2 linked regions of the Struthio camelus genome follow. The protein of the gene in region 1 interacts with the protein of each later gene in a biochemical or structural test. Links are inferred from orthologs where the notes say so. Each region holds a gene or a part of one and is shown on either strand. Other genes may lie near its edges.

Region 1 (15,793 bases):
TGCATTGAATATGCATGTGAGGCAGCCTGGTTGCTGAACAGCAAGAGGCAGGAACTGAGCAAGCAATCCTACAGCTCAAAGTGACAGATCAGATGGGTCCACAAACTGACAGCACCTTTAACAACAAAATTTCAAGCTTAATCTTGAATAATTTTATCTTATAGTAAAGTCCAAAAAAAAATCTAATATTTTGCTGGTTAATGAAGCTGAATAGTTATTCTGCTAAACTTTTCAGTGACCTTTTAATATCAAACTGTACTGCTCTAGTATTTTAGAATGTAAAGCTTTACTAAAGAGTACTTCTTTGCAACAAAAGAAACCGTATTTGCCTGTTTGTTGCAACCTTGTATAGTAGTTGGCATTCTAGTTGAACAGGAAGCTCAACAAGTCACTGTCCTGGCACCACCTCTGAGGGAAGAGCAACACATTGTTCCAGGAGACACTCTCGTAATATTGTATAAAGACAGATCCACCCAAAGCTTGCTAGGTGCTGCTGCCATAAAAAAGGCAGTTTAGCAGATGGCTGGTACTGAGTTTTGGCCAAGGTGCCAAAATACTTCCCTGACAACTCTGACTAGAAAACAAAAAAAAGACAGTTTTGAGTGGCAAATATCATGTGTTGTTTACAGACGACATGAAACTCATGCATCAACACATCACAGATTATATGAAAATTACCAGTATGCCCAGTTAATATCATTTGTGGTATAAGACAAGGGCATTATCAGAATGAAAAGGACAACTATAGCCATTCTCTTTTGTTCTAAAGTGAAAGGTAGAAACTATACTTTATGTAGAAAAATTACTGAACATTATCACTGATTTGGAACAAATTATTTCTCGCTTCAAAGTACAGAGAAAGGTCAAGAGATTGACAGGGAAGAGGATATATAATTAGAGGAAGCTAACTGGCCTGTAAGTTGCAAATAGGACAATGAGAAGGGTGATAAATTTTCATCAGCAAACAAGAGGGTAGTGACACTTTCTCTTGGCTAGCATTTGAACTATTGATGTTTTGGACTCCAGGGGAAAAGAAAAAGAAGTCTTGAAATAAATGTTTTGCTTCTCTCCCTCTGACAACACACAGCCTAAGAATTATAGAAAAAGAGTTTACACAAAGGGTTTTTTTTTTTTTTGAGAAGGACAGTAGTTTTCAGATCTAAGATGTTTGTTTTTTGAGGGTGAAGAATCACATGTGTTCTTACAGCAATCAGCACAATGAAACTGAATGATGATGCGGCCTCTCAGCGTCACCACGAAATAAAAATTGACATATAAAAATATTTGTGTCCAACACTTCATAAAGACTTTTTTTGTGTTCAGTGAATCCTACCTGAAGAGTATGGATTGATACTGCTAGATTAATTAGCCATTTCACAAATATGCATTTAATCTAGGTCTGATGCTAAATTTTTAGACTTAAAAACAAACAAAAGAACCTGAAGAATATTTCAAATGCAGGAAAGATTTTGCAAAGGCTTAGAGGCATATTTGACTTCACACACAAGTTGTAGATAGTTTGCTAACCTTGGTGTGACACCTGCACAGTTTTGTGGCGAGAAAAAAAAAAAAAAACAGAAATATACAACACGTGAGCAACTAGAGAAAGAAGAGGCAAGATAGGTATTTTCAAACTCTTCAAAATAAGTAGAAGTCTTTTTTTGCATTTATACAGTACATATTAGGATGAGATTCCAGTAACTGAAGCCTCTGTTCACACGTAACATCAATAACTACAACGATAAGAGCATCCTTACACAGGATAAGTGATTTCTTAAATTTGTTTGTAGAGTGCAAAAATCCAAGACTAAGTCAGATAAAGACTACTAGATAATGTTTGCTAGTATCGCCATAAATTTCAGCTACAGTGTCTAAAAGTACTGGAAAGAAAAGTCTCTAATGGTTAGATAACAATATGTCAGTGTAGGTTTAATCAGATAAGTAAGAATAAATTATCTGTCACTATTGTAAGCTTTTCCCAGAATATGTCATTGTTTCTCTTTCTTTCTCAGTATGGAGAGGCAAGTTATAGATTATAACTAGAGCTGCTTAATGTCTCAGTCAGCAACTACGTTATTTAATAATCTTGGTTCTTGTAACATCCAAATCAAGTTGTGCAGGCAAGACATTTAGAAACTTCTTCCAAGGCTCACAACGGTTCAACATTTATTTTCAGCAGAATAAATAGGTAACCTTCAAAGTTTCTTTGAAAACAGAATGAAATAATCAGATCTTTTATTTGAGAGAGTCATATGTTACATCAAATATTGTATACTTGCATAAATATCATTTGGAGTTTATTTCCATTTTATAAACGGAAATCACCAAAGAGAAACTGAGCACTTGTTTTACATCACACCAATTTTCTCAAGTCCTGTAAAATACTATGTTCAGCTGACATTGCTGAAAATCATCTTTCTCAAAAATAATGAACCCTCTTACTGGCAAAATATTTTTGAATCCTGCCAGAAGTTGATCATTTAAAACTATAACGACTAAGAAAAAAAAAAGAAACACAAATCTCAGACTTTCATGCAGAAGAACAGAAAGCTGGTACAAAGGCCAAAGGTAAAAGGGAGAGCTAGAAATCAAATATAACCCAGCTCTAAAGAGCAAAACCAATAAACAAAACCAGTGCGAGACCAGAAACCAACAGATTATACTTCACCATCAAATATTATCCATGCTTAGTTCACCTAAGCATTTCAAAACACCACACTTGCACTACCCTTTTTATTTTGCATATCTTTCAAGTAACGTATCTCCAAACTTTCACATCAGTTTTTAAAGTCCTCACCATCAAAATTAAGCCAGCTAAGACCATTGCTCTTACAGAGCAGCGACCCGAATCTTGTTTTAACTGTTGCTACATTATCTCATCTAATGGCCAAGTCAATTTCTTCAATCAAGATTAACAAAATACCCTTCTATTTATGCCGATGTGTGATGCAATACCATGATGCCATCAGAATATACTCAGCCTATACTGGAAAAATCCCAGGGACACAAGCACACAACACAGCAGTCATGATCAGATCAAACATCACCTATCTTTACACTGGTTTGTGAAGGCAAATTTCACCATGCTACTTTCCCACTAGAAATTCTGCTACAGGCAATCCACTTCTGAAAATCCCAAAGCTAGTAGGTTAGGACTATTTGTTCCCTACTGGAATAGGGTCAGAAGCCTAGATGTGCTAGGACAGGGAGGTAAAATAACTCTGAGAACAGAATGAAAACCAAGAAAAAAATATTTTGATGGCCTGCTGCAGTTCTCAAGTGTAAATCTTTGCAGTGATTTCACAGAACTTTAAATCAGGCCTAAAGTTTTCAGTACAGGACAGTTCTTCTTCAAGACAGCACCTTTTCACTACAAAACAGAGAAGATACTCCTGTTAAGGATGACAAAAGCCATCCCTAAGAACTCGGGAACAAAAAGAATCCACCTCTAACTCAGAGCAGCGAGGAGATTCCTCTTGCTTTGGGCTAGGCTACAGACACCATAGTATGAAAACAATGTAACAGTTATCTTCAAAAACACAGCAAATAACAAATTCAAGCTGTTCAGTAATACAAATGGCAGAGAAACTACAAAAATATCTTATAGGAGGCTACTTCTCCAGAGAAAAGGATTTAAATAGGCCAGCAGTTGACAAAAAGAAAAAAATGCCTAATGTTTTGGCTAATGATTTTATAATATCTGTCTCAAAAAAAAGATATCCCTTTCTTTGGTTAAAATATTACAATGCAATAGTCAAGGGATACAGTATGTACATATTAAACTCAGTAATGTTAGTAGTAATGTAATATTCCACTCTGTGGACCTAAAGCTAGTTGTGAAAATGCAAGAAGGTTTACAGTCACAGCAATCTTGACTTTATGTAGGTTAAAAAGTATCAAAGTTATGATTAGTGTGACTGTAAACCTTTTTGTAGTATATATATTTAAGTAACATCAATAAAGTACTGTAAGTTTTTCCAAAAAAATGTAACAGGAATACAGTAACTAAGTAACTAAATGTACATTTTCAAAAAGGCCTTTTGCAATTGCAGATTTCAATTTTCCTTTGTTAGCTTTTTAAAAAAAGAAAAGCAAAACTAAGCAAACATAAACCCTGAGAAATGAAACCTTCAGAGTTCAGTTGGTACCTCCCACTCCCTACTCAGCTTCCCAGGGACCATCACACAGTGACAATCTGGTTAGGAGTCAGCTGCCAACGGGTACATAATTTGCATGCAAAAACATTTCTAGAAGACACACGTGAATAGCATATGTTCTCAGCCTGAGTATAATCTCTTAACTACATCCCTAAAATATTATTTCCCCAACTTTCATAATTATTTTCCAGGTAATGATTCCTGATATAGATATGTTACTCTTTGAAAATAAAATATATACTGAGTCTTAAACTACATTCATTTTAGAGTTCTCCTTGTATTTAAAAAAAAAAAGTCTCTATAGAGTAATTTTCCCCCTCATATGGTAGTCTTCCCCCTCATATCTGAGAAACCTACTCCTCTTCTCCCACAAAAGAGAGAGTTTCTTTTTTTTTTTTTTTTTTTGCCAGTTATGCTACATGTTCAATTCACATGCCAAAAGACTTCAGTCATGGAAAGTATCCATTCCAGATACATGTTCTAGAAGTGTAATAATGCATGAAAACAAATTAATACTTAAATTGTTTTAAAATCTTTACCATGGATGTAATTATGAAGTGTACAAATATTTGAAAACAGAACACAACAACAGACTTCAATTCAGACAGTTAAATCAGATATGTAGTACAATTGCCTGAATCAAAGCAGTTTCGAAAATCCTATCAGAACACCTTTTTGCTCTTCCTGTGTTAACTAAAGCTAATTTAAAAAAAAAAAAAACAAATAAAAATGCAAGTTAAATTAAGACCAGCCATAAGCCATGTGCACATATATGGTTAGCTAATTTCATTGAATTGACACAACATGTCAGAGACAATAACATTTAAATAAATAGCAACTCTCACTAGTTTCCAAAATTGTTACCAGTCCACATCTGGAAAGCTTAAACCAAATCCTGGTGACTCTCGAGTTTGATTACATAGAAGCTATTACTTTAGGATCATTTTGTTCAGGTTAAATGAAGTTCTACTGTTTTGTGAGTTAAAATACTTAGTTTCTTTTCTTTGCTAAAATGTAAACCCCTTTCCTCAGATCTCTATGAATATGCACACACATGAGACATTCTCTCTTTATATGGAAAGGCTCAGATCTGTAACCTTTCTTTGGCCCAAGAAAGGTCTTTCCTTTATTCAACCTGAATGTCAAGGGGAACAAACAAGAAACACCAGTAAATGACTCTGTGGCGCTACACAGCATTTAAAAAATACCTGGTAAATAAATCAATTTACCCCAGAAGTTGGGGAAAAAAGATAAAACAGAGAATGGTCAGCTTTAAAATCTTAACAGCTTCAGGGCATGAGGTCCAACTGATACGAGAACTGAAATCTATATTGGAGCTTTTCCAAAGCCAGCTCACACTAATAAGGAAAAAGTCTACTTTAGTCATGCAGGATCACATACAAACTCACACAGGCAAACAACTCTTACCACATCATCTGATAGGCAGTGTACACTTAAAACAAAAGCATATGTTTGATGGAAGTTCAAAACAAAACAATAGACTCTAGTCACCCCTGGGAAAAGCAAAAGTTTAAACTATAATTAACATAAGTTAAAAAATTATTACTGAAATTAAGATACAGAGCATACATTAATTTTCACACATTCAAGCCCTGTAATTTAAACATAAGAACATATTACTAGGACTAAAGAAACCTAGAATGCCATGAGGCAAATCATTATACAAGTACCACTATCCACTGAAACTACTTAACATTGTTCAATGTATTGCATTACTCTACCAGTTTTAACAGTCACCTTCATCAGTTGAAAAAGACTTGAAATACACATACTCTATTTAATGTGCTATGTATGTAGAAAGGCCAACCTCAACAGCTGTAGAGACACTCATTTCCCTGTCCTATTCAACATACCTCAAAGTGCTTTACGTTTCTGATGGGAGCACACAGAAAAAGTACCTGCTCCACAATAAAAGCACTAATGAATCAAACCCCAAGACCAAATAAAGAACCACCCCTCACAAAATTACCACTGAATTTCATTGCAATCTTTCACCAGCCAGGAAAACTTCTTCCTCCAACAGAGGAAAATATCCCAAAACATTAATTCTAATTTCAAAATATTGCCAAAGGAATCAAAGGAAGAGTAACTACAGCAAAAAAGGAAAACAAAAATGGATCTCAACAGAACCATTACATAGCAAATTATTTCACAATTCCAAACATACAAAGCTAAACACTTTTTAAAATCAAATGAAGAGGAAGGCACCAGCAAACCGGAGACAGATAAAATACAAGACATTTCTCATGCCATCGCTAGAACAATTTCCTGAGTCATCCCATTCTTCAGCCCCGGGAGCAGCCTGGCTAGGGCCGCGCTAACAGACTTCTCAGCGTTGCCGAAGCAGAGCGTTGACCTAAACGCGGCTGCTATCCAGCTCCTTGCAGTTCACGCTGGAGGAAGAGGGGCCGATATGGATTTCAGAACTTGCATCAAATGCTTAAGCTATTTCAGCTTGATACTGCCAGCGCAGAAACGCTCCTGGAAACTGACAGTCCTGAACGAAACCTCCAAAAACGACCGCGAGAAACATTCTAAGCTACCTAATCGGACAGGCTCTTTTTATTTTAAAAAAAAAAAAAAACACCCGTCGGCCAGCGCCGACGCCTCCAGCCGGGAGGGAGCTGGGACGGGCCGGGCTGCGGCGGCGAGGCCGGGCCCGCTGAGGCGGCGGGTGCCGGGCCTCCTGCGCCAGCGCCCGCGGGGAGGCACGGAAGGGGGGAGGCGGCGGGGGGAGGACGCAGGTAGGGCCGCGCCGCGCCCTCCTCCCGGGGCCAGCCCACACGGGGCGGGCGGCCCGGCCCGGCCCGGCCCGGCCCGCCGCTCCCCTCCCCTCGCTCCGCCCCGAGGAGGAAGGAAAAAAGGAGGAGGGAGGAGAGGAAATACCTCCGCCGCTCCTCGCCCCAGCGCCGGCCACCGCGCAGGCCCTCACCCGCCGGCTGGCGGCGGCTCCGCGGCCGTTGGCTGCCGGGAGCGGAGCGGGGCGGGGCCGGCATGGCGGCGGGGGCGCGCGCGCCGGAAGCTGCGCGGCGGCGGCGTGCGCCAGGCTCGGCGCTGCCGGCCGTTGGCCTCGCGGCGGCGTTTAACCGCCTCGCTCGCTCGCGCGCGGGCGCGTGGGGCTGCCGGGCAGTAACGGCCGCCGAGTAACGGGCGGCCAGTAACGGGCGCGGCGCGGGGAGGCCGCGCGTGCGGTTCGCGGGGCGCCGCCGAGGCCGCCGGAGCGCGACGCCGAGGGCCGGGAGCCGAGAGCGGCGGCGGCGCGGGGAGACGAGACAAGGCGCGGCGCGGAGCGGAGCTGCGGGGGCCGGCGCGGAGCCGCCAGCAGGTGAGCGGTGGCCTTGGGCGCTCCGCGCCCCCTCCGGGGCCGCGCCGCTGCTGCGGGAAGGAGCAGGGCCTGGGCGCCTGGCGCGCTCGTTTTGCTGGGAGCAGTGTTCAGGCCTTTGCCTCGTTACTCGGGGGTGCCTGTTCCCTAGGTTGCGTTAAAATGACTGTCTTATATTTCTGAATGCCGACTTAGTATTTCTTGTCAACGTCTGTGTTTCTGAGGTCCTGTTCTTTCTAGTCAGTTAGCGTTAGCTAACTTTAATAGCTAACATTTAACAACAGATGTACGTGGTGATGTACTAGCACGTGTTTATATTTCCCTTGCACGGTTTTCTGACGTTCAAATGATTAACTACATGTATTTTTTTCTTCTACAGTCTTTCCCTAGTGAATGGATCACTCTGGATGTGGGGAAAAAAAACTAAGGAGGCTGTTTTGCCATAGGTTTCTTTTGAAGCATTTGAGCACTACTTGGTGTTGAAGGAAGGGCAGCAACCAGAACAGTGTCAGCCAGTTAGCTGGAGCCGTGTCCATGTGCCCTTCACTTCCACTGCCTGAGTCTGTTTCTGAAATCGTGCATGTGTTAGCTGTAGGGATAACAAATACTAGTTTAAGCTATATTTTTTCCATACTAACTTACTTCTTGTAAAAGCGCTAAAAGGCATCATTGGCAAGATGCTTAGTGCCTGTACATTCCAGTACCTGCATCAAAGCATGTAGTGTACTAGGACATTTAAGATAAGCTTGACTATAGAAGAAGCTTTTAGAACAACTTAGTAATCATACTGCAAATTAGTTTATTTCACAACTTCGTGTATTTCAGCTTCGTTTGCCTTAGTCTGGGTTAGGCTCTTTGCAGGAAAGAATCTTGCATTTGCCGCCCACCACAGGAGGATGGAATTGTAGTTCTGCCTAGCATGTATGGCCTGTGACGTAGGTACAGTTACCAAATGACATCAGCAGTGTCTCTTTAATGTCACACTTACTGGAATACATTTTTTTGGCCAAAGCTGTAATTTTTTCATGCTCTGTGATTTGAATATTAATAGTTACAGCTGGAGATTATAAAAAAAAGACTGTTTTGCGTAAGGAATACACACATACCTAGTAACGTGGTCAATGTAAACGTGTGTGACTTTCTTTTCAAACTTTTTTCACCCTTCCTTTTCAATTTCCCTTTGAAGGAGAGAAGGCATAGGATTTGCAAGAAGTTTAGGCTTAGAAGAGATGTTCACTGTAATGTAATCACTGTTCTGTAACCTGCTTACTGGAGTTCCTAACTGACCTTATTTCACAAGATACTGAAACTGTTACTTGTGTCACAAGGTACACCTCACTGTTATCAAAAGCCTGCTTGCCATATAAATTCTCCACCTCTTCCCTGCTTTCTGTCTTCTGTGTCGTTATCTCTGCAGCTCATCAGACCTTTTCATAAACCAGCTTAACTCACTCAAGTCTTAAGTTTTCTGCTGTTTTATGAGTTCAGCTAGCTTATGGAAAGTCTGACAAAGATGTGAACTGTTGGGTTGGTGATGGAATGAGAAAGAGGAGAAGAGAGATGCGAGACCTTCCTATTACATAGCAGTGACCTATTGGATCATCAGTTACCTGAGGAACCTTAACTTTAGCCTAGTAATTATACCTAGTCAGTAGCATATTTTGCATTATACTTTGCAAGTGTCCAGCATAAGGGAAAGTAGAATAAATGTTTTAAAACATAGCACAGTAAGCTTGAAAGCATATTCCTATTTATTTTCTGATATGTAATGCTGATGTTACATGCTGCTGCAATGGGTCGCTTCAGTAGTTTGTAAAGCAGTCTTTTAGTTATCTGTTTTTCTTGGCAATTGTTCTTAGTTCTTATATGTTGTGCAAATACTACAAATAGTTTACTGTAATTTTACACATACTGAAATGTACCGATAGGTCGCCTAGTACCACTCGGTATATCTAGTACTGGCAGGCCTGTTTTATTAACTGGTTCTTTATATGTCTTTGAAATAAAAAGTTGATTAAGAATGTAATAAAGATTCAAAAAAGTATTTATTGTGATAATGTTGAAGCCCACACCATTTACAATACTCCTGTTGGGGGGTTATAGTTGAGGAGGCATTATACATCTCAAAACGCTATTTAAGCTTAAACAGAAGAGCAGAACTATCAGATAGGGAACATGGGCAGAAAAATACCTGCCTTTCTTTTGAGAGGAGTGACAGAGTAAGCACTTGCAGAGCAATAGATATCATTCTTTATAAAATCAAGAAATACTTAAAAAGAAATAACTTGTAGGTTGTTAGTGTTACTAACACATTTAAATACAGGCAGAGAATTTATGTTTTTACAGTGAGAAATAACTTAAATACATAGATCACGTGACTGTATTTACTCTGGAGAGATGAGGTCCAGGCCAAGGAAGTGCCTAAAAGTTCCCTGAACAAGTTAGAAAGATCTTATTAGCTAGAGCATGGAGAACAACGTCATTCTGTATTTTAAAGTGGTCAATATTTGCTAAACTAATGTTATATTAAAAAAAAATCAACATCTGAACTAGATTAAATATGGGATAACAGAGTTGATACGCTGTGATAGTATGGTTGACGCAATGTGAAGAATTGGAGAGCTTGGCTTTCCTTCATAGTCCAGTAGAATTACACACTTCAAGCTAATTCTTTCGTTTTTTACCTTCAGTGAGCCTAGGACCATGTTGTTTCTTGTACATCTTCCAACTATACTCTAAAAGCTAAATATGCTCTCTAAGGAGGCACATACCGGTTGATACTTTTGTTCTTACCTTCCATTATAACCATTAGTTTTAAAGTCCCGATATACTACCTGTTCATCCTGCAGCCTGCTTTTTCTGAAAAGGGCTGCTATACGTGTTAAAAGTATCAGCAGGATATGTCATCAACTTAAGTTGTCTTTGGGGATCGATATGGAATGATGAGTTATTACAGTTTGCTACTGCACTTTTTTATTGATACTCTGCCCATTTTTAACGTCTGTCCAGTTCTGTAGCGTCTCTTTTTGCTTAGTACTGTAAATGAGTTAGGTTGAACGGGTATTTGTGCAGGGCTCCCAAAAATGCCTTGGGAAACTGAGTTCTTGATTCAAAAGGAATTGTCTTCTAATCTGAGTTAGTGCTATAGCGTAGGAGTTGCGGAGCATTGTGCTGTGGGAGAGGTTCTCGTTCAGTGGAAGCGTTGGAAAAGAGACTATTGACTTAAGGAAAGATATTAACTTTGATGACTTTGCTGCTTGATGACTTTGATGACTTTGCAGCTTTATTATATTTCACCTACCTTGACTTCCCCTAAATCTTGAAGGAGTGCATATTTATTCTGGTTAGCTCCATTTGAAGTTAGCGAGTATAGATTTGGGTCCATAATGTTCTAAACTTCTGTGTTCTTCTGACTCATTCAAGATATAGTTAGCTTCAGAGCCAGTGAAGGGATGGAGTTATATGGGCTTAAGAACCTGTCTTCTGATGTGTATGTAGTCTGTACTGGAGACTTTCTACATAGATGTGTGTGCGCGTGTATATGCCTCTGTTACGTAAGTGCGCAACAATGTGTGTGAATCAGAAGGCAGAATTTGGCCCAGAATTTGACAAATCATATGAAATGGAATATGCAGTATCATTAGCAACATATGGAATAGATTTATGTTGCAGTAATACTGTGGAAGAGCTTTAGTTTGCTAAGAAGTCCATAGCATTGTTAAAATGACTAGATGAGAAGTTTCCATGTAGTGACACTAGCAGCAGGACGCCTTTCTGTAGTTAGAAATTGTTCCATTTGCAGGATAAGCTTTTTATAGTTAATGTACAAAATTCACTGTTCTGAAAGCTACAGCGGTTAGATCTTTAGTGTTCTTCACCAACTAAGGTGTAACTGCGGGATCTTACTGTAGCCGTTTTTAAAGAAAACATGTCAGAATCTTTCTGACTGAGGGTTAGATGTAGTAAGTTAAGGTGCACGGGCAAGACATCTCTGTTTCTGCAAAGTATAGTGCGCTTGGAAAATAAATGAGACCTTGTGGAGTGTAAAGAATGCATAGATTTGCAAATTCAAGGTCTGAAGCTGCTAAATCTGGCCAAAAGTGACTGAAAGTTCTGAGTTTGTAGTCTGCACCAGAAAATAAGCGCGTTCAGTCAAGAAAGTATGCATCTCAATTCACTCTTGCAGAAAATACAGATTGCATTACTGTTGGTATATTTTAATTCAAAATTTAATCAATTTTTTTCTTTAATTGTTGTATTCACTTCTTATTTTTCAGGGTTCTTTGAAAATTCCTTAGTGGTCTTGACATTGTTACAAGTGACATAAATTAGCCAGTGGCTCAGAATGATGGATGCCCAGAAGACTACAAATGGTTTGCAAGTGATTGGACAAGGGACTGGTATAGGGATATCGACACTCCACATGGTGGGGTATTTGGGAAAAGTCAGTTGAAACTTGTTTTACATGTGTGCAAAGTTCATATTTTTCTCTGCTTTGAGAGATTTTTAATTGGTCTTAATTTTCCAAAAAAAGTCTCAAAATTATTTTTCCACGGAAATCTATAACAATGGCGAAAGATTGTTCTAAGTACATCTGTGTCTATGATTTTTTTTTACTGGTGCTATTTTTAAAACTGTTAGCTTTCCTGTGAAAACTTGTTTGTCTTTGGAGATCTGAGTTTGTGTTCTCTGGCAATAAATATCCTTTGGTTTAGTGCAAACAAAATGAGATGTTATGTAATTGTGTTGTTACAGATACTTTATTAAATATTTGAATATTTATAGCAAAATATAGATTCATTTAGAACATTCTATTGTATGAATATATATTTTATAGCTATAATCAAAACCTAATCTAATTTACTTTTTTATACTGTATCAGATATATATTTATAAGTTATACTTTCCTTTTCTGCCTTGCTATGTATGTTTTGTTGTTGGGATAATATATAAAATGCGTAAGCTAACGCCGCTTGTTTTTTGGGTTGTTTTTAGAACTGTAGTCCTGTAGAAGTAACTACACATGAGCATTGCCCAGTCTGCAAAGAGAAGGGCCAGAGACAAGCTTTACGGACTTACCGCATTAATTTTCAAGAGTCCATTTTTCTTTGTGAAAATCCTCAGGTATTATTCTAATTAACAGTTTTCTTGGGCTGTGTAGAGGCCTTTGTCTTCAAAAGTTACACCTCTTTAAGTTCAAGAGTTCATTGGTGGTAAGCTGGCTTGGAGTAGGACTCCTTTGAGTTGACCTGCAAGACGGTATCTGGCTGTATTTAGACAAAAACACGGCTAACCTCTATACGCACAGTGTTTATGCATAGATAGCTAACCAAAAGAAAAGTTTGAAAAATAAAAAAGGGGAATTTGGCTTACATAACAAGGGAGAGTAAATCTGTATATGAATCGGATTACAAGCTAAAATTTGGTGATCCACGTAACCCGTATTGTATCAATGCAGACTTTGGTTTCCCATTCTTCTTTCTTTATTTTTTGTTTTTCCTTTCTCTCGTCCTTTCTCAGTAATACAAATAGGTTTGCAATTATAACTGCAGTGTTTTCAAAGTTTTTCCATTTTAACTTCAACCTTAGCTGGATTTCTGGGCTACTTAATAGTTAGTGATGACTTTTGCTTCTTCTCCATTTCCTTTCCTGCGCTCCACCACGTGTGTGGGGGCAGAGTATAGCAATCTCATGGCCTGGTACCTTTAAATTAACAGAGTGCGAATATAGATATGTGAGTGCACATACAGATACATGTCTGTAAGTTGCCCTCACGATCCCTTCTCCTCCCTCCCCCCCAGCCTTTACAATAATCATTGTACGGGTTTCGAGGAGGGGAATAGTGGAGTGGATTGTATTCTCCTGGTTACAGAACGTTCTTATGTATAAGACCCCTCCGACACCTGGTCTGAAGCATCAGGCTAGCCTGAAAGATAGCCTACCAGCTTTGGAGGTCTCAGACAAAAGATTTGTTAATGCCAAATCCATACCCTAAAGGAATGGCTATAGCAGAATGAGAGAAGAGGAGTTTCCTTAGCAAGATGAGGACATCTTTCAGGGATTGGAAGTGGGCAGTCAGGCTTTTACTGGAAAAGCAATGTTGGTTATCACTTTTGATACATTTTTTTCACCATTGCTTGTGAGACAGTGGTTGGATAAAATGTCCTTCTTGTCATATATGTGGAATTTATATATCCATTTCATGAAGTACCACTTAACAGAAGTTCTCCGTTCTACTTTACAGTATAGTTTGTATTTTTTAGCTACTGTTTACCTGAAATTGCTTTGTAGATTTCATTATAACTGTCTTTCTTTCCTTTAGTGTATCTACCCACTTGGATATAAACCATTAAACAGCATAATTATTTCTGCTGATTCAGAAAAACATCAAATTCCATATACTGATAAGAAAAGGAAATTGTGTGATATTAGTGACTCTTCTCCCATTGACTCATATCCAAAACAGGCAAGGACTAATAATGGGATAAATGTTGAGCAGACTATAAATGCAAATCCTGCTGTCAAATACTGTGAGAATGGTTTATATACTCCCAGGCCAAGCCTACCTGATGAATTACAGAATGACCAGCAAAGCACTAGCAGCAAAGCAGAGTCCCTCCTGCAGAAGGTGGATATTGAAGCAACCAGCAGCACCAGCAGTTATCAAGAAAGTGCTTCGAAGACTTCTTCAGCCGGAACACAGCTCTCACCGAATTCTGAACTTTGCTCAAAAGCATCTGACATTTTGCTCAAAGATGATAAAGTTTCCACTAATAACACAGATTTACGTCTTCAGTGGAGGAACACGTATGCTCTTTGTTGGTTAGATTGTATTTTGTCAGCTTTGGTACACTTAGAAACATTAAAGTGTGCTCTAACAGAAGAATACACTGAAGAAAAATGTTTACTCCAGAGACTCCTTACAAAATACGATCAAGCAACTGCACTTCTAAATACCTGTAAAAGTAGTAAGGTAAAAGGTGAGTAAGTTTAGCTACTGTTTCTTTATATTCAACGTGATGTATCTGCTACAAATATGTGGAATTCGGTACAGTGTACTGAAGTCTGCTTCCCTTTTATTTCAAGATCACTAAAGAATGAGTTACAACTCATTTCCATGAATTTCCAGAGCAGTATTCCTTGTCTAGCAGATTCTCAGTAACCACTGAAAATATTTCTCTCAGGGAAAATATGCACACTTCGAAAGCAGAGATCAAATATTAAGTATCTCTTGAAATTTTTTGTTACATACCAGGTAGGTAAGTTGTGAATTGATCATGTAGTTGAACCTGACTTTGTTTCCTTCCTGTGTGTTAGTTAATGTATTACAGGGCTGTTCTCATTTTAATCTTAAATCTTAGCATCTTTCCTGATGTGGTTTATATCCCTGTATAAATGCACAGTTCCCCTGTCACACCAGAAATAGAAAAGCTGGGAAAATACATTCTTTTCCTGGCTCCAGCTGTGCTGATTGAAGAAATGCTTCCCCTGAGATCCCCAAGCTGCGCTGCGGATGGTAGTGCTTCCTAACCTGTTTCAGTCAAAATCAGTCAGATCTGTTAACTTGGTTGCTACTGTCTGGAATGGGTTAGGAACATTCCACATGAGAGGCTTGGCAGACTGGAGGGCAGTCGTCTCCAAGCACTGGGGCAGTGATGAGCAGCTGGAGGCAACCTTTCAGCCTGTACAGCCGGAGTTAGAAGATGTGTCACTATAAGCTGTTAGTATGGGCTTTGATCTTTTTGTGTAGTCTGGGTTCGGTTTAAGACTCTTAAACTACTAAGATGTATTTTTCCCTAGCTCTTTTGAAGTGACCCACTGGAGTCATAAGTCTGAACTTGTAAAAGATGTTCCTTTAGAGAATTAATGCAGATCGCTTGACTAGCCAGTACCTTTCATGAAGCCTTTTTTCAGTGGACCTCCTAGGAAAAGTGAGCGTGGGAGTATATAGGCTATGGTACCATAACATTATTAGGTAACTTAATATCATATCTTCCCTAGAAAAAACAGTGGGTGCATGAAAAATGGTTTAATAGATTTTGTGACAGAGAAACCATAATATTTTTAAAGAGGGGAAAAAAATCTAAAGAGGTTCTGAAAAACCTCGTATGCGGTAGTTCTAGCCAGAAATTTGGGCTCCTTATTTTTAAGTTTTCAAATATTGCCTGGAAGGCCTCTACCATCACAGTACCTGTTAATCTTACATGGTATTTTCCCCTCTGCTGTGCTACTGCTGTTTGCAAAGAAGTACTGGTATAGAAGAGCCCTTAGTGGGGATGTTAGCTTGCTTTCC
Region 2 (16,513 bases), about 140 Mb from region 1:
GCTAAGGACCTTTAAGGGGTGTGGAGGAGGGTCAATCTTGAACTCTTAGAAAGCCCTTATTTATTGTACTCTGCACTATACACAACGTAGAAAAACTGATTCATGCCCTCTATGACGGAGAGCCAGAAGGAAAAGATGGAGGAAAAAAAAAAGAAAAGGCAGGAGTGAGATAAAGACCAGAAAGAAATCATAGCAGAGGTATGCAAGGATTTGAAAGTGACACTGTGCAGTTTGTAAGTCATCAGACAGTACATTTGAGAGCAATCTGGTCCAAACAGCAGGTGGAAAATTTTAAGCAGCTGCATTTGGAATGGGATGGGCAGGCACAGCAAGAAGGGGAAAGCCAGAACGCCAACAGACAAGGTGAGTGATGATCAAAGTCTCTATGAAGGCTTTCAGCAGAAGTGATGGAGAAGAGCAGGTAGACTTCAGTACAACACCAACAGAAGGCCTGGAATGATTTATAGATAACCTGGATAATGAGCAACCAGGAAGAGGGAAGGAAATCTAACAAGGAGACTGAGTTTAATATGATCACTAAAGCTACGGGCAGAAAGGCTTGGGGAGTAGAAAAAGAGAGAGCCACTTGATTTGCCAGTATTTCTCTTTGCATGAAATTCTGCAAAGCCAGAAGAAGAAAGATGGAACAGACAAGGTGGAGAAAAAGCAGTAGGAACCATCTGCACGCAGACAGTACTGACAGCCGTAAAAGAGGACAGAGCTACCCAGAGCAGTGCAGAAGAGAACTGTGAGGGACATGAGAGATGAGGTGGGGAAAGAGTCAACACAAGAAGTGACAAGAGACAAATTTGGAGGTGGTAGGAACTGAAGAGTCAAGAGGACACTCACAGCACCTCATGAGGGAAAGCACAGGGAAGAAGGAGAACTTTCAAGCTGTCTGGGCCCTGAGGCCACTAAAAAGCCGTAAATGTCCTGACCAGCCTCAGCTGGGACCCCCAGCATTCACTCACTGCCCATGGCTCAGGGGCTCCATTTAAGCTAAATACCAGGCACACAGCCCTTGTCTGAGCTACACTGCAGGTTCACCTGTCTTCAGTCCTGTCTCCTGGATAGACCTTGGATCTACACTGTGGGTAAGTTGTCTCTGGTCCTGTCTCTAGCACCATCTCCTACTGCTAGGCTCCCTGGGTAGACTTTGGATGAGACTCATCATTTCACCTTGTCTGGGACTGTTGATGGATCCTCTTACCAGCACCTTGCTCTGCCCACCCTGTTCAGATACAGCAGGACTGCAACCCAGTTGGATGAGGGCACACTTACTGCGTGTGCTGTTACCACCTATAGCTCCTGGCTCACGCTTCCTTGAGAAGCAGCCCAGCTCTTGCAGCTCCCTGACACAAGCCATACTGGAGAGAACAAAAGGCACAGAAGTGAAGCAGTGGCTCACCAAGATTACAGGTGACTGTGGGGAGAGCAATTCAACACTGGCTGGTCATCACAAAGCCAGCAGCTACACTCCAAAAATGCTGTGGCACACCTTTGCAATTTTCTTTATCCACAAAGAAGGGACATCACTGTGGAAAGCATCCAATAGGCACAACTTCTGCTACTGACCTCAGTTCTCTTCTTAAAATACTACTTCAAGCAGGGAGGCAGAGAAGATCAGTACCTATTTTCATGGCTACCCTGGCCCCACTGATAAAACATCCCACACAGCAGGATGTGGGCACGTGTCACAACAAGAACTGGTTACTGCTGCTTGCCTACAGAGGACAGCATTCAAATGCTATCGACCAAAGGCTGGAGTGAAGCCAAAGGCCTACAGGGAAAGACTCCAAAATTTATCCTTCCTACAGTTATCTAACTCTTCTTGCATCCTGGAGCTCCTCTTCAGCTCATTCTCTCCTCAGCAGCATTGCCAAATTGGCCTACTGAATTCCACTGAATCCAACGTGCCTACGTACAGCCTTACTTCACTTTGGCTGACCAACATACTGCACCTCAGTAAGTCCCATAAGACCCATCTACAGCTCAGTCACACCTTCACGTTTATGTCACGGCTTTATACATAAGACTCATCTTCTCACTACAACACCCTCAAAATGTGTACCATGCTCTGCAACCTTAACTTCCTGTGTCTCTTGGTGGGAACAACCACCTTTTCCATTCTATCTGACTTCACACCACCACACATAACAGGTTGCTCCTCCACCTTCTGCCTTCCTCACTCCTGACTGTTTCGACTGCTCTTATCCCTTTTGCACCTCACGCTTGGGCCACCCCCTAGCAGACTCACGCACTTCTGACTCCCTTTTTCATTCCAGCCTCCTCACGGTGTCTCATTCTACCCTTGGATCAAGCTGCAAACTTATTACACCAGGAACCAAACACACAACTAACAACCAGTACATGCAACACTTCTGTTGTGCGCAGTACCACAACTGATGTGTAATCAAGTTTAAGCAAAAAGCCTGTTTAACTTTTGTTTTCTCAATGTTACAATTATTTTTAGAAATAGTGGAAAACACTTCAGGAAATAATATGCCTTTTCTCCCCAAATCTGTCTGTCCAGACTTGTCTGCTCAAATCACCAGCAGAATTTGAATCCAGAACACTTATATCCCCCCACCGCAAAGCTCTGTCGCTTGAGTGACAAATTACAATTATCCTTCTCTGGTGCAGCATCTAGAGAGGACTTTATTCACAGTTTGTCAATGAGTTACAAACTATTTGCCAGGCAGAAACAAAACACCGCAGATCAGCAAAACTGCTTCCTTGCCTTCGGAAGGAAGCGCAAGCTAGTAAGCAGGCTAACTAAATCACAGACTTGATAGGTTCACTCTAAGAGACAACATAAGACAAACGGAAAGACCTGAATCTACCTATTATTACCTAATCTCCTATTATGGAGCTGGTTGTTATTCTCAGCCCTGCCAGAGTTGAATTTGTGCAAAGTTTTTTTATAACGTATTTGTGGGATGGCAATGAGTTCACACACGACTGATTTCCAGGCTTTGGTTGTAATGTTTCAGTAGGAAACAAGTGCACTGAGATGTAAGTGGCAGGCTGCGGAGCCGAGACAGGGACTCGGCCCCAGGCTCTGCACGCTCTCTTCCAGGCAAAAGGCTCCCACATCCGCTAATCTGCAAATACGGAGTCTTTAATGGGCAGCAACTCGCCCGCCTTGGCAGTGCGGCAGAACAGGTAACCGGATTCACGTCAAGCAGAAGACAAGCCGCGCGGCCCATTACGAGCCCAACGAGTGCGCCCGCTCGCTCTCCACCGTTCCCCACGCATGGGGTCTGAACGCTTCTCGTATCCGACAACTCTGAGGGTCCCAAAGCCAGGCTCCGCCACCACCTCTACCTCATCCTTAGATGTGCCAGGTCCCCTGAGAGCGGCCGCTCTCCCACCCCCGGCACCTCGCTAGCTCCCCGCCGCGCCGCTCCCGACGCCCCTGCCATATGGGCAACGGGGTGGCACCACGTCCAACTGAGACAGGCCAACTCTGCCATGAACACCCTTGCCTCCCGCCAGCCCCCAGCCCCGCAAGCAGAACGTAAAAGCGGCAGTGCCGTGCCCCCTGGCGAGGGCGTGCGAGGCCTCGGGCGAGCCCCCCAGCCCACACCACCACCTCGGCGGAGCTGCCCCTGGGCGCTTCAGGCCGCCCTCCCGCCCCAGCCCGGGGCCGGGTGGGGGGGAAGGTGCTGCTTTCTCTCCCTCAACCGCTTCCTCCTCATTTCCTGTCCACCCAGCCCTGCCTCGCTTTTATAATTAAAGCCCCGGGTCGGTTCGCAGACGCGGGAAGTAGCGCTTCCCTCTTCTTCCCCCCCGCCACCCCGCGCCGTAGGCCGCCGATCCCCGGCCTCGCCTGGCGGCCGCCGCGGGCGCCAGCGCCGCCTCGCCCGGCCGCGGCCGAGAGGGGCCGGCGGCGCCCCCGGGGCCTGCTGCGGGGCAGGAGCAGCGCGGGGGGCTCTCCGGCGGCAAGACACAGCCAGGCTTTCCCCGGAAAAAAAAAAAAAAAAGCAAAATAACCCCCAAAACACTCTCCCTTCTCCTTCCCCCACCACCCCCCACCCCCAGCCGCCGCCAACCTATTTAAATAAAACCCACATATTTCCGGGAGCCTGGGAGGCTACTTTAAGAAAAAAAAGAAAAAACATATATAATATACATATATATATATTAAAAACCTCCCCTTCTACCCGGAAACGGTATAAAAGCATCAAAGAATTAAAAAAAAAACCAGCAACAACAACAACTTATTTGATAAACTTTACAAGCCCCCGAGGAAGATGCATCTGGGAAGCTATGGCACAAGGGCTGCTTCATGGGGTTTATAGCAAATAAGAGGGGGGACACGGCAGGCTAAACGCAGATCGTGAACAGAGCTTTGAAATCTTACAACCAGCAGCCGGCACAAACACCATTAATACTAAGTTTTTAATGCAAACCCAAGGGCTTTTTAGCAAGCTGTTCACTTTTAGACTACTACCACATTTTTCTCCGGGGGGTGGGATTAGGATCTCTGACAATTATTTTTTTGCAAACCCCACAATTTTGGCGGAAGAGTGGGGGCAGCTTCAAAATCCCGTCAATTTTTTTTTCTCCACTTTTTTTTTTTTTTTACATTTGGAATTACAAAACGTTTCCTCTATGTAGTTGCTATTTGAAATGTTTACTTTTAAATGAAGCAACATCAAGATGTTCTTGTTTTTTCAAAGCCCACCCTTTATACATACATAAATACGTTTATATTTTATAGACATATTTATATATATATATATATATATATATTTATATATGGTTTAAGAAAAAATAACCCCCCAAAACAATAATAAGACTTACCTCTCCTTGGGTTTTCCCCCTCACACTATGTATAACTTTTCTTGATAAATGGTATTATATTACTAGAAATATTATTAAAGTATTATTACTATAAGTAATAATAATAGTAAGTGTTATTTAATTATAGAAGGAAGCATTCTGCTTCTGGATCGGCTGCCCCTGCAGCTCCCTCCATGTGCCTCCTGATCTCTTTACTTTCATTTCCAGGTCTCCCTCCCTCCCTCCCTCCCTCCCTCCCTCTCTCTCTCTCAGCTGCACCAGCAAGAGAAAATGCCTCCCTGCATATCCTCTGGGCCCTAGAGGCTACCGGTTTCCATTACAAAAATTCATACAATCTTTCCCTTGTGGTTGTTTTTGAAATTCTTTTTACGTGAATTAGCTTTAACAAAAAAAAAAAAATTAACACGCTTAACTGTTTGAAGCTCATTCTTATTTTAATAAGGCAATTTCCTCGTTGCCGGATGTCTGGCTTTGTGGATATAAAACACACCCCAAAAGAAAGCAAAAGATCCCAAGCTGCCTTTGCACAGTAATTTATGCATGTGAGGAGCAGCAATGAACTGAATGGAATGATGCGACCCTCATGGGATTATCCCATGCATGAAGTGGCCCTTCTGCCCATACATATATGTTTGCTGGCGGGGGGGCAGAGCAATTGCAAACAGAGCTTATTTAATCCACCCCACACTGCTGAGGGGTTTTCCTGGACACAATATATTCTAAAAACGTAAACTTTTTTGTGGAAGACGTACACAGTGTATAGATCTATTACATATTATTATATTATGTAATTATGTATATTGTATGTAATATCATCACATATGTTATATACATATACAATGCATATATTTATAGACTTACAACAGTTTTTAATACACATATGTATTTAGGTGCTTTTTTGAAATCTGATTTTTGGTTTCTCATCCCAAATCCTTCAACAGTCTCAGGAAATGGCCTGATTCTCCACAACGCTCCATGCAGGCAGAACCCCAGGAACGGCTTTATCATCATTTGTTCTTGGGTCATGGCAGATGATTGCGAACACAGAGATACACAAACCCCCTTAGACAGGGGTTTCATCCATCCCTGTCCAGCTGCAACATCATTAACTTCAAATAAGCCTCTGGAATGAGTTTCATGCTCAGCTCCTCATCCACCCTCCCCGGTAGGCTAGGTTTTCCTCTCCCTAAGGATTTTGTCTACTGTCAGATTGTAATTTCCAGACTGATGCTGGTTTAAATTATCACCTCTTTACAAATGTAATCAGTGACATGTTTACCTCTCAGTGTCTCACTTGGCCATTTACAGTGACCCAAAACAGCATCACTTTGTGCTTTGCAGATAAGTAACTCAGCCAATGTTCGAACGCAGGTAGAAAGTATCGTCTGAAATGTATTAAACCTGCTTAATGTTTAAAGCATTCCGGTCAGAACAGGATAGACTTTGTTATACTGAGTAGGTTTGGCTTCTGGCAGCTCTTTTGACACAATAAACCGAAAATTTATGATATATAGGCTGTAAATTATATAATGTACCATATGACATTGGAGAACACTTTCTTACACTGTTCACAGTATTTAATCACAATGTACTTTTTTTTAGATATTCATTATGTTCTCTGATACGATCCAAAGATGACTGTTATTTTTAGATAGGACAATATTTATTTTTTGTTAACTATTCAGCAATTTGTTACCTTGGATTCTTAGGCAATGACAAGTCCAGCCAAGTTGGGCCTCCACTGCAGAAGGTGCTGTGCAAAATGTACATTAAATGACAATTCCTGTTGAGGGGAGGCTTTAGGCAGAAGGAAGGTTGAGCAGGCCTGGTGGAAACAGATAAACATGGGGAGATCTGACATGTCAGATCACATAGGAAGGGGAGCGTCATGGAGCCAATAAGCTTCAGATGAGTCACGGCGCCTAAGATGCCTCCAACCCTGCTGTGAGAGTTGAACGTCTGAAAGGCAAGACGTAGCAGTTGCATGAGAAGAACAAGAGGGCTTAGGACGAACTGAGGAAAAAGAGGAACGAAAACAAAATCTATACATAATAAGGAATTCCGCTGGAATTAGTACGGTTCTTTTATTCAAGAACATTCATTTTTTAAGATTGAATTTCCTCACTGAGCATCGCATTACAGCCTCTTCCACCCCACTTTTTCCTCGCTTATAATACCGAGGGCTGTCTCATAAAGTCATGATCCAGTATGTATTGCCCCACTCATGAATAACATCTTTCCTTACTGGTTAATGTCCAAATTCTCATAACTGGCAAATGAGGTTATCTACGTCTAGTATGCACATAGTCAGCAGAGTCAAAAGGTGGCAAATTCCTACTCTGAACTGAGTTACAGTTGCATAAAAGTGAGTTTGATTTGTGAAGCTATTCCTTTGAGGAGAAGGAATCTGCTACAATGGCATAATATACCTTTAGTCCAGTATAGCTGCATCCACAGTTGAAGTCTTTGCTCTTGCCCCTTTGGCCCCATGTAGCTAGACAATATTTGGGAGAAAAATAGAGAATGGAATGAGATAGATTTGATATGATCCTGTTTATTGCTAAAGATCAGGAGGAATAATAGGAGCAATTTCCTCGCTCATAGTTTCTGAGTTCAGGCTCCCTCTCAAGATCACGCTAATTTATCTCCTCATCTGCTCTACGTTTTCTGATAGCTTTATGCTCCTTACGCACAAGCAGAATCTAGTCAGTGCCTCAGCTTCTTCATTTTCTTCAGTTGCAAGAGAAATTCCTCTTACTACTTATGAGTTAGCTTTAGCTCAAGCTTTCTATCTAGCTGCTGTACCAGTTGGTGGCTTTTATATTTTCGGCTGTCATGCTCCATAAAGAAACTTATTTATCCTTTTCTCCTAGAATGAAGAAGGACTAGCGTGTCTTCAGCCTCAGCGTGGCCTCCCGTGTCAGTCAGCATTGCCAATTAGTTCAAGTTTTGTCTTGGGTCTGGATAAACAGCATTTGATATTGTTTCTTAAAACCTCAGTCACAGAATAATGAAGGAACAAAAAAAAAAAAGACTGTCATGTTTTGGGACCAAATGGCTGAATATATCCAGCCCACTGGAGATATTATATCTATATATATAGATATATCTATAGCTATATATCTATCTATCTATATCTCCAGCACCCCGGCCCCGGGCCTAGGCCGCCACCCAGGGCGGCGCTGCGCGCTAGGCATGCCGGGAACTACCGCCCCGCTCCGCAGAACTACATCGCCCGGCGTGCCCCGCGCCTGGCCGGACAGTGTGGCACCCGTAGCTCCGCCGCGCACGGCGCGGCCGGCCGGCGGCTTGCGGCACGCTGACGCTCACCGCCTCGCGCGGGGCGGCGAGGGACGGGGGTTTGTGACGTCACGCCGGGCAGCCAATCCGAGAGGGGAGAACAAAACTGCCGGCTTTCAAATCCTCCGCCTCCTCCCTCCCTTCCCCCCCCCCACCCCCGGTCTGTCGGCAGCGGCGGCGGCGGGAGAGCTGGGGTGACGCCACTCGGTCGCCTCCACCGGCAGCGAGCGGCGGCGGCGGCCGCGGCGACGCCAGCCCCCCTCGCGGCGCGGAGGTGAGGCGGGGCGGCGGCGGCGGTTGGCGCCCGTTGGGAGCGGCGGGCGGGAGCGGGGGCGCGCGAGGCTCTGCTCGCGCCGGCCGCTTCCCCCCGCCACCGCCCCCGGCTCCTCGCGGCGGGGGGAGGGGCGGCCTCGCGACGCTCCCACGTGCCCTTCTTCTTCCTTCCCCCTCCCCCCCCCCCCGCTGCCACCGCCGCCCCGGTGACGCCGCTGTGCGTGGCCTGCGGGTGCGGGTCACGCGTGCCCGGCCCCAGCCCTCGCGGCGTCGCGAGGCGGCCGGGTCGGCTCTGTGAAGCCGGGGGAGTCTCGGGGAGCAGGTGGGAGGCGTGGCGGCGGCGCGGCCGGTGCGCCGCACCTTCCTGAGGGGTACAGAGGAGCCATTAGCCGTCATTAAGGGAAAGGCGCACTGGGAGCCTGTCGGGGACTTGCCGGAGGGGAGCCTTGGGCTGTCACCGAGCTCCCCGGGGAGCGGGGTGTGGGGCTCTGGATTGCCCGGGGTGCACAGCAGGGCTCCCCCTTGGGTAGTGCGCTTGATAGTCGGTGTCTTGTCCATTAGCGTGGATAAACCATTATAAATAAAGTATTGAGCTAAAGTAACTTTTTTTTGACCATCAGGAAGTGTACAGCATTATGCAGTGGTTAAGTAATAAGGAAACGTCTCTTCAGGCATTTCTAGACCTTGTTTTTGTTTGCCAAGAATACTTCTACTAACTTTTCTGTTGATTTTATTTATTTATTTATTTTTTTAAAGCTTTCCTTGCAGAAGACCTGGCAGTGAAGAGACCTCTGGTAGGTTAACAGTTGGGTGTGGCTGATGTGTTTGCAGTAAAACATGCTTCAGGATGTGATGGAGAAATGGGATGTTGAAATCAGGAAGTAGTCCATGTATAAGATGAAGAAAGAAAAAAGGGATTTAGGGAGAAGAGAAGCAGAGGGAGGGAGGGAGTATGCTTGTAGATTATAAAAGAACATTACAGCAGAACACAGAACTCATTTTTAAACAGCTGGGTGATGAGATACTCGAAAGTAAAGTTGAGAATCCACTTAGGTGAGCGAACTGACCTCTCTGGATCCTATTTAACTTTTGTTCCTGTGTGGTAGAGCCTTTGTGAGTTGGAGAACACCCTCTCTGTTTGTTTCTTCTCTTTGCTATTGGATTGGAAGAAGTTTAGGCATGTTTATCAGCATGGTGCCTGAGTGACTTGATAGATGTTGCCAGCAGAAAGATGCTCAAATAATTACTCCTCTCCTATCTGAGAGGTCAGTCATCCTGAAATGGTAATGTTGATGAACCTTGAAACCCCCTCCCCCTGCAAGTCCAAAAGCAGCAGTACTAAAGTTCATAAACCTTAAGAGAAAGGCACTACCTGAGCAGAGCTGGAGGCAGGTCCTTTTACAGCCAGGTAGCAGGAGGAAAGGATGTATGTACAACTTTCATTTAGGGGGTGTCTAAAATCCTCCCCATTGGAGGGGCTTAAAGAGCAGCAAGCTTTTGTGCTCACCTTGAAGTTAGACAAGAGTGGAAGGGGTCCGGTTTTGTGCAGTTGTAGGGATTAACTTGCATCCTCGTTAACACCTGAAATCTCTTTTAAAGGTCTTTTTCTTCTAAGCACTAGCTGCTTGCAGCCCCTTATTTCAGCAGAGGTGGAAAGAAACCATGAAACCACCAAAGAAAAATGCTCTGTTTATCCTGCTGAATGAACAGGGATCATTCACTTCAGAGTGATGATAGTCATCAGATAATGATTTACAGATGCTACTAGCCATGGCTAGCACCAATTTGTGCATAGAAGTGAAGTGTTCCCTGATCCATCATCAGGGTTATATCAGGGTCATATATATATATCTGTTTAATGTGTTTGAGTACGACTCTGTGGGGCAGCCAAAAAGAAAGCAAGCCCACAAATCTAAGCGAGACTTTTGTAGCTAATACACATGATGTTTTTCAGCAGCTCAGCGATTCTAGAACTGTGCTGACATGAGCACTACTAGGGATATAAATGAAAGGGGAAAACAGTTGTGTTCGTTCTAGTTTGGCGTGGAGAAGAGGGGAAATGTGCAGGGTGCGTGTAATTAAAGGATTAGATTTGGGTAGAAAAGAATGTCACATCTTAACTGTGAAAGTGTTGTATGCAAAACAGTGTCTTAACGTGGTCTCGTTATACTTCATAAGCAACCAATAGCTAAAACCACTTACCAACTTCATCAGAACAAAACATGAGCCTCTTCAGGACTGGAAAAATCAACCAAATCCAACTTTGAAATGTTAATCTGGCCAAGCTGTCATGAGTGAGCTATGAGGGAAAACACTAATGACAGTGAAAACTCGATTAGATATCTCAGGAACAAAAAACCACTAGTGTTTAAATATAAGACAGTTATTAATATAGATTATGTATCATCGTTTGCTTTTCTAATGTTGACAGTTTCTTTTTAATTAACAGCTTGTAAAGTTTGGGAAAGCGGAAAAGATGGCATCAGAAGACATCACTAAGCTTGCGGAGTCACTTGCCAAAACCAAAGTGGGTGGAGCACAGTTGAGCTTTAAAGGCCAGAGCCTTAAACTCAATACAGCAGAAGATGGTAAGAGAAAATATCCTTGTGTTGGGGAAGTGTCTCCCTGTAATTCTAATGTCTTGCAGTAAACCTCCATCCCATCTTGCATGGCCAAGTTTTCATATTCGCTGGGGTGCAAGGGTTATTTTGTTACAGCTGCTTCTGATAGAGATATTTTCTTCCCTTCTCCCATGCTGCTTTGACCTGGTACTCCGGCAGTGCTGCTTGCTGAGGAACTTGGGGTTTGGCTGTGTGGTGTATAGTTCTTGTTTTCTTGACATTCCTGCCAAGTGCTTTTGACAACCACTGTGTTAAATGTCGGTTCTCCTTTTAAAAACACTAGGCAACATCATAGTGCTTGGAGCAACTGTATACTTCGAAGACCTATGTAGAAGAATGGGTTGATATATTAGTCTGCTGCTATAGTCCCTTTTTTCCCCAAACTCTGATTCAGTTTTAGACTCATGGTTTTTCTGGAGCCTGTCTCTTAATGTTGTGTGTCTTTCCCAAGGAACAATGTCTTGCAGTGGCTGCTAGTGTTGTAAAACCCTGGAATATATCTATATGTATATGCAGGTCGACATTCCTACCACCTCAAGAAACAGCGTGTTCTTGAGACTATTCTTTGGTATAGTGTGTACTTATGTGTTTTTTTCCCTTTATTTTAAGAAAAAGGATTGCTCTTGAGTTAAATTGCTTCCCCCGGCACTGTAATGGCTGAACAGGCGTCTACTTTTGTCAGTCATGGGGAACTTCTTGTTGTTGTTGGGACGTCTGTCCCCATCACCTTTTAGCCTGGTCCTTGCACCTTTGTAGATGTATGCACCTCCAACTCCTAGGCTGTGTGCTGGATAACAAACAAATCAAACTTACTTTCTTAAATACGAAGATGGCTATCTGATCGTAGAACTAGAAATAAATTATGAAAAGGGAGGTTGGGGAACAGAGAACACATTCTCTCTAGTGACCTGACACTTCAGCTCTGTTCTCCGTTACTGTTTCAGGATTCTTTCAGATAATGTTGCTCAGCGGTTTTGGCTGAGGGTAGAGCTGAGCAAGTGCATCAGTGTGTTACTGAGGTACCTAAGATGTTAGTTAAAAGGCCAACAAGACTGTCTGCTCTTTGCAGCTGAAGAAGTGATCAAACAAATTGAGGAATTTGATGGCCTGGAAGCATTACGCCTAGAAGGCAACACAGTAGGTGTGGAGGCAGCAAAGGTCATTGCCAAAGCCTTGGAAAAGAAATCGGAGCTCAAGGTGAGATCCTCAAGTGGGTGGTGGTGAAAGGGGAGAAGTACTGTAGAAATACTGAAGGCCTATCTACACTCTTCCCACAGCAGCATGCCTCGAGTTGGCCTCAAAACTCACTTTGTTCTTCCAGTAGGAGGAACAACCATATGAAAATGTGGCAGAACTTGGGGACTTTGGGATAGTGGGAACATGTCGTGTATTCGGAACTGATCCTGTTCAGAAGGCTTCCGATCTTAAAGCTGATAAGCTGTCCAAGGAAGACCTCAGCAGAGGCAGCATGTGCAAACAGAGAACTGTGTAACAAAAGACCAAGAGAGCTTAAGTTATAATGGAAAAGCTGGCTTGGATCTTCTTGCTCCTTAGAAGGACTCTTCAAAGAATGCCTGAATATTTAAGAAATAATGGAGGAAATGCACAAGGATTTTTTTCTGTGCCCTAACTATGCTTCCTACTACTGTTCTAGCCTAATGTTAGAAGGGTGCTGTGGTGCTAGAGACACTGTCCTTTGCAGGAAAGGAGTATGAGATGTTGATTCACGTTAATCGCCAAAGCGTGGCTTTTTGAGTAAGTCTGGATTGTTGTGGATTTTCTTAAGGTACGAAGCCCATTTCTAATGTATCCTTTAGTTCCTGCCAGTTTTTCCTCTGGGAATTTTCTTAGCAGAAGAGAATTACAAGTTGAACGCAAGCAAGAATTCTTGTATAGTGTTATTTACAGTATTCACTTCAATGGTTTTATTTCCTTGCAAGTAAAGTAATTATGTTAGTTCTCGTAGCTCTTCAGTGTAATCAAATGACAAGCCCAAGGGAATGCAGGCAGTGCTAAGTTGTCCCCAGGGCTGCAATGCAGCTTATGGGTAAACTTCTGTACAACTGTGCTCTAAATATTTTAATGGCTTCTCTTCTATCTGTATGTGTTTCTTCTTTTAGAGGTGTCATTGGAGCGATATGTTCACAGGGAGGCTAAGATCTGAGATCCCTCCTGCTTTGGTAAGTAAAAACTAGATCGGAGACTTTGACTAATATAACTTCTTTTCTCATCTGTCGTGCTTTCTGTGGGAGTATGTTTCTAAGGCTTTGTTAGCACAGAGATGATCTTTCTCTGTGCGGCTAACAGTAAATGCCTTGGGATAGGTGAGTGACTTTGTGCTCCTTCTGTACAAGATGGTGAAGAGTTGATAAAAGGCCAAACGTGGGTCCAAACTAGTGAAGAAGCTTATCCTGGAGAAAACCAACATCTTTGTGCTCTGATAGGTAGTGTGGGAACTAAGCTTTCTAAATAAAAGCATATATCCCTCTCTTCCAAGAGTGTTACAGAAACCTACCACCACTGAGTTCTGCGGAGCAAGAACATGATAAACTCAACAGAAGGAAGAAATGTTCCTTCAAGTGGTGCAGAGGGGTAATTCACTTTGGAAAAAAAATGTATATTTGACCTAAAAGGATGGGAAAGCTGCTTGATAACTGTCTTGCAGTTATCTTTAGTAATTTGCTCACCTCATGCTCTGACTTTAACCACAAAGCTTTATTTCACTGTGCAGCTTTGCAGAACGCCTTCAAAGCAGAAATTTCTTTGCTGCATCACTAGCCACTGCAGTGATGCTGTCACTAAAAGTCAATCTATTCTCTCCCCACCCCACCTGCCATCTGTTTTCTCACAGATCTCTTTGGGAGATGCACTCATCGCTGCTGGAGCCCAGCTGGTGGAGCTGGACCTGAGTGACAATGCCTTTGGGCCAGATGGCGTGCGTGGCTTTGAGGCGCTGCTGAAGAGCCCAGCGTGTTACACCTTGCAGGAACTCAAGCTCAATAACTGTGGCATGGGCATTGGAGGTGGCAAGGTAAGGGCTGTCTCCGTATTGGGAACGAGGTTAGAGCTAGGATTTGCCTCCAGGCTTCCCTACACAGAATTACTGTGGTTGGAAAGCAGTTCTATAGACGATCTAGCCCAGCCCCCCTGCTCAGAGCAGAGTCAACTAGACCAGGTTACTCAGGGCCATGTCCGGTCAGTTTTGAATATCTCGAAGTATGGAGACTTACAACCTCTTTGGGCAACCTGTTCTGGTTTTTAACCACCCTCACAGTGGGGGAAAAAAAGGTTTTTGTTGTTAATATATTGAAATGTATTAAATTCTATGCATATTTCATGTATTTTTATGTACCTATTCCTTGTCCTTTCACTGGGCACCGCTGAAAAAGAGTCTAGCTCTGACATCTTTAGTTCCCCTCCCATTTCGCCATCATCTGTTTATACACGTTGATAAGATCACCCCTCAGCCAGGCTGAACAATCCCAGCTCTTTCAGCCTCTCCCTGTATGTAAAATTCTCCAATTCCTTTGTGCCCTTTGCTGGACTCACTCCAGTATGTCCACATCTGGGGAGCACAGAACTGGATCCAGCACTCGAGATGTGGCCTCACCAGTCCTGAACAGAGTGGAAGGATCACCTCCCTTGACCTGCTGTTGACGTTCTTCCTGATGCTATCCAGGAAGCTTTCTTTGCAGCAGGGTCACACTGCTGGCTCGTGGTCAACTTGCTGACCACCTGGACATGTAGTTCCTTCTCTGCCAAGCTGCTTTCGAGTTGGTCAGCCCCTACTCCTCTATACTGCTGGATGAGGTTATTCCTCCCCAGGTACAGGAATTTGCATTCCCCTTTGAACTTCGTAAGATTCTTGTTGGTTCTGTTTCTCTAGTCTGAGATCCCTTCCCTCTACTTGATTGTATTGATTAAACTGAAGTACAATGTTCTTGTCAACTTTTCTAGGCTAGAGAAAGAGGTCTATTTTAGACCCTAGATTCCCATCTCAAGAGAGCTAACAGCACTGAGTTTGAGAGAACAAGGCTGGCGCTGAAGGATGCCTGTTGGAAAACCAGGATTGACTGTCATTGTCACTAAGACTCTGTCTTTGCCTATTTATGAATCAAATGTCGTTAATGGGGGCAATGCATTTTTAGTGCTGCAAAATTATCACTTTGTGCCTAAGGCAGTAGTGTGAGTGTTGTAGCAACACATGATTCTGCATGCTCTTCTATAGAAGAAGCAGATGTATTTTAGCAGTGACCTAAGGGTTTCTTGAGAACTGGATATCCAAAGTGCATTTAGATTCCTTCAGAATGAGGTGTTGAGGTAGTATAAACCTCTTGTGTTATCTTTAGATATTGGCAGCTGCCCTGAAAGAGTGTCACAGGAAATCGAGTGCCCAGGGCAAGCCTCTTGCTTTGAAAATATTTGTGGCTGGCAGAAACCGTTTGGAGAACGATGGTGCCACTGCCCTGGCTGAAGCCTTTGGGGTAAGTACCAAACCAGAGCTTCGTGACAGCAAATCGAAGCAAGGTGCACTTAGGTGCAGATGTTGAAGGAACGCACGTATAGCTCTCCAGCTTGGAGACGGTGCTGGCCATCAATTCATTAATATTATGATGCAGTTTGCTGTTGAAGGTTGGAGACTCAAGTGTGCAGTTGGGCCTCGTTTTACGAAGACACCTGTTGGAGTCTTCTACAAGTGCAGTTAGAATTGATGACTGAGTGTTTCTGTGACCTGTTTTCAAACACACAACTTCTTTCTATGTGAAGTAGTTATCTGAGGAAGAAATAGGCACCTCCTGAGTAATTTAATATTGGTCATATTCTCCCTCCTGTCTGTGCTAATGGAGGTGATCTGGCACTAGAGTTAGGTGTACCAGATGACCTCTTGAGTGTTTCTCTACCTACTTGTTCAATCATCTAGCAAAAGCCACCTCGTGTTTTCTCCAGGAACATCCTGAGAGAGCTGTTAGATCGTTCCTAGCTCTTGTCAGCTCTCACTGATCCAACTGCATTCTTATTTGGAGGAGCAGAATCCAATGTGGTTGGGACCACCTACTTTTCTAATTCCTCTATTGCTGTGGAAAATAATTTCTGAATTATAGTGCATATTGTCAAATGTATTAGAAAAAATATTGCAAGATTACAGGTTGTTCTTGTAAAGAGCTGTCTGGATGCGACCTTGACTAATCAATAATGATAGCACAAATAACACTTCTTAAATACTTGAGAGGCACATAAAAAGATGATTAGTGAGGAATTTGGACTGAATGGTGCTACCAAGATGGGATTCTTTGTTGTGCGATGTGCTACTATCGAGCCCCAAAAGAGTTCTCATACTGATTTCCTCCCCACCGGGGGATCTGCTTCTGCAGTCAAGGCAAAATGTAGACCTTAAATAGAAGAAAATAGTATCCAATGACACTGCTTGATCTGCTTCAGGGTTATTGAACCACAGATAGAGAACCCTTGTTTTAAAGGAATCTAGAGCGGGCTCGCTAGGAGGATGCTAT

The links.
Region 2: of the proteins of USPL1 (region 1) and RANGAP1, one has a biochemical effect on the other in vitro, tested with the Homo sapiens proteins (2 studies listed by BioGRID). The link is inferred for Struthio camelus from reciprocal best matches to the Homo sapiens genes USPL1 and RANGAP1.

Annotation. Positions count from the first base shown.
Region 1 is NC_090942.1:199,397,591-199,413,383, reverse strand, and holds the start of USPL1 (SUMO-specific isopeptidase USPL1), read left to right. Parts: upstream 1-7,271; 5' UTR 7,272-7,503; intron 7,504-11,777; 5' UTR 11,778-11,845; coding exon 11,846-11,944; intron 11,945-12,495; coding exon 12,496-12,624; intron 12,625-13,822; coding exon 13,823-14,480; intron 14,481-15,793. UniProt on the Homo sapiens protein: SUMO-specific isopeptidase involved in protein desumoylation. Specifically binds SUMO proteins with a higher affinity for SUMO2 and SUMO3 which it cleaves more efficiently. Also able to process full-length SUMO proteins to their mature forms.
Region 2 is NC_090942.1:56,874,243-56,890,755, forward strand, and holds the start of RANGAP1 (ran GTPase-activating protein 1), read left to right. Parts: upstream 1-8,056; 5' UTR 8,057-8,383; intron 8,384-8,427; exon of another isoform or gene 8,428-8,704; intron 8,705-9,138; 5' UTR 9,139-9,176; intron 9,177-10,831; 5' UTR 10,832-10,858; coding exon 10,859-10,970; intron 10,971-12,072; coding exon 12,073-12,200; intron 12,201-13,123; coding exon 13,124-13,183; intron 13,184-13,854; coding exon 13,855-14,034; intron 14,035-15,352; coding exon 15,353-15,487; intron 15,488-16,513. Other genes in the region: ZC3H7B (zinc finger CCCH domain-containing protein 7B), read right to left, coding at 1,180-1,366. UniProt on the Homo sapiens protein: GTPase activator for RAN. Converts cytoplasmic GTP-bound RAN to GDP-bound RAN, which is essential for RAN-mediated nuclear import and export. Mediates dissociation of cargo from nuclear export complexes containing XPO1, RAN and RANBP2 after nuclear export.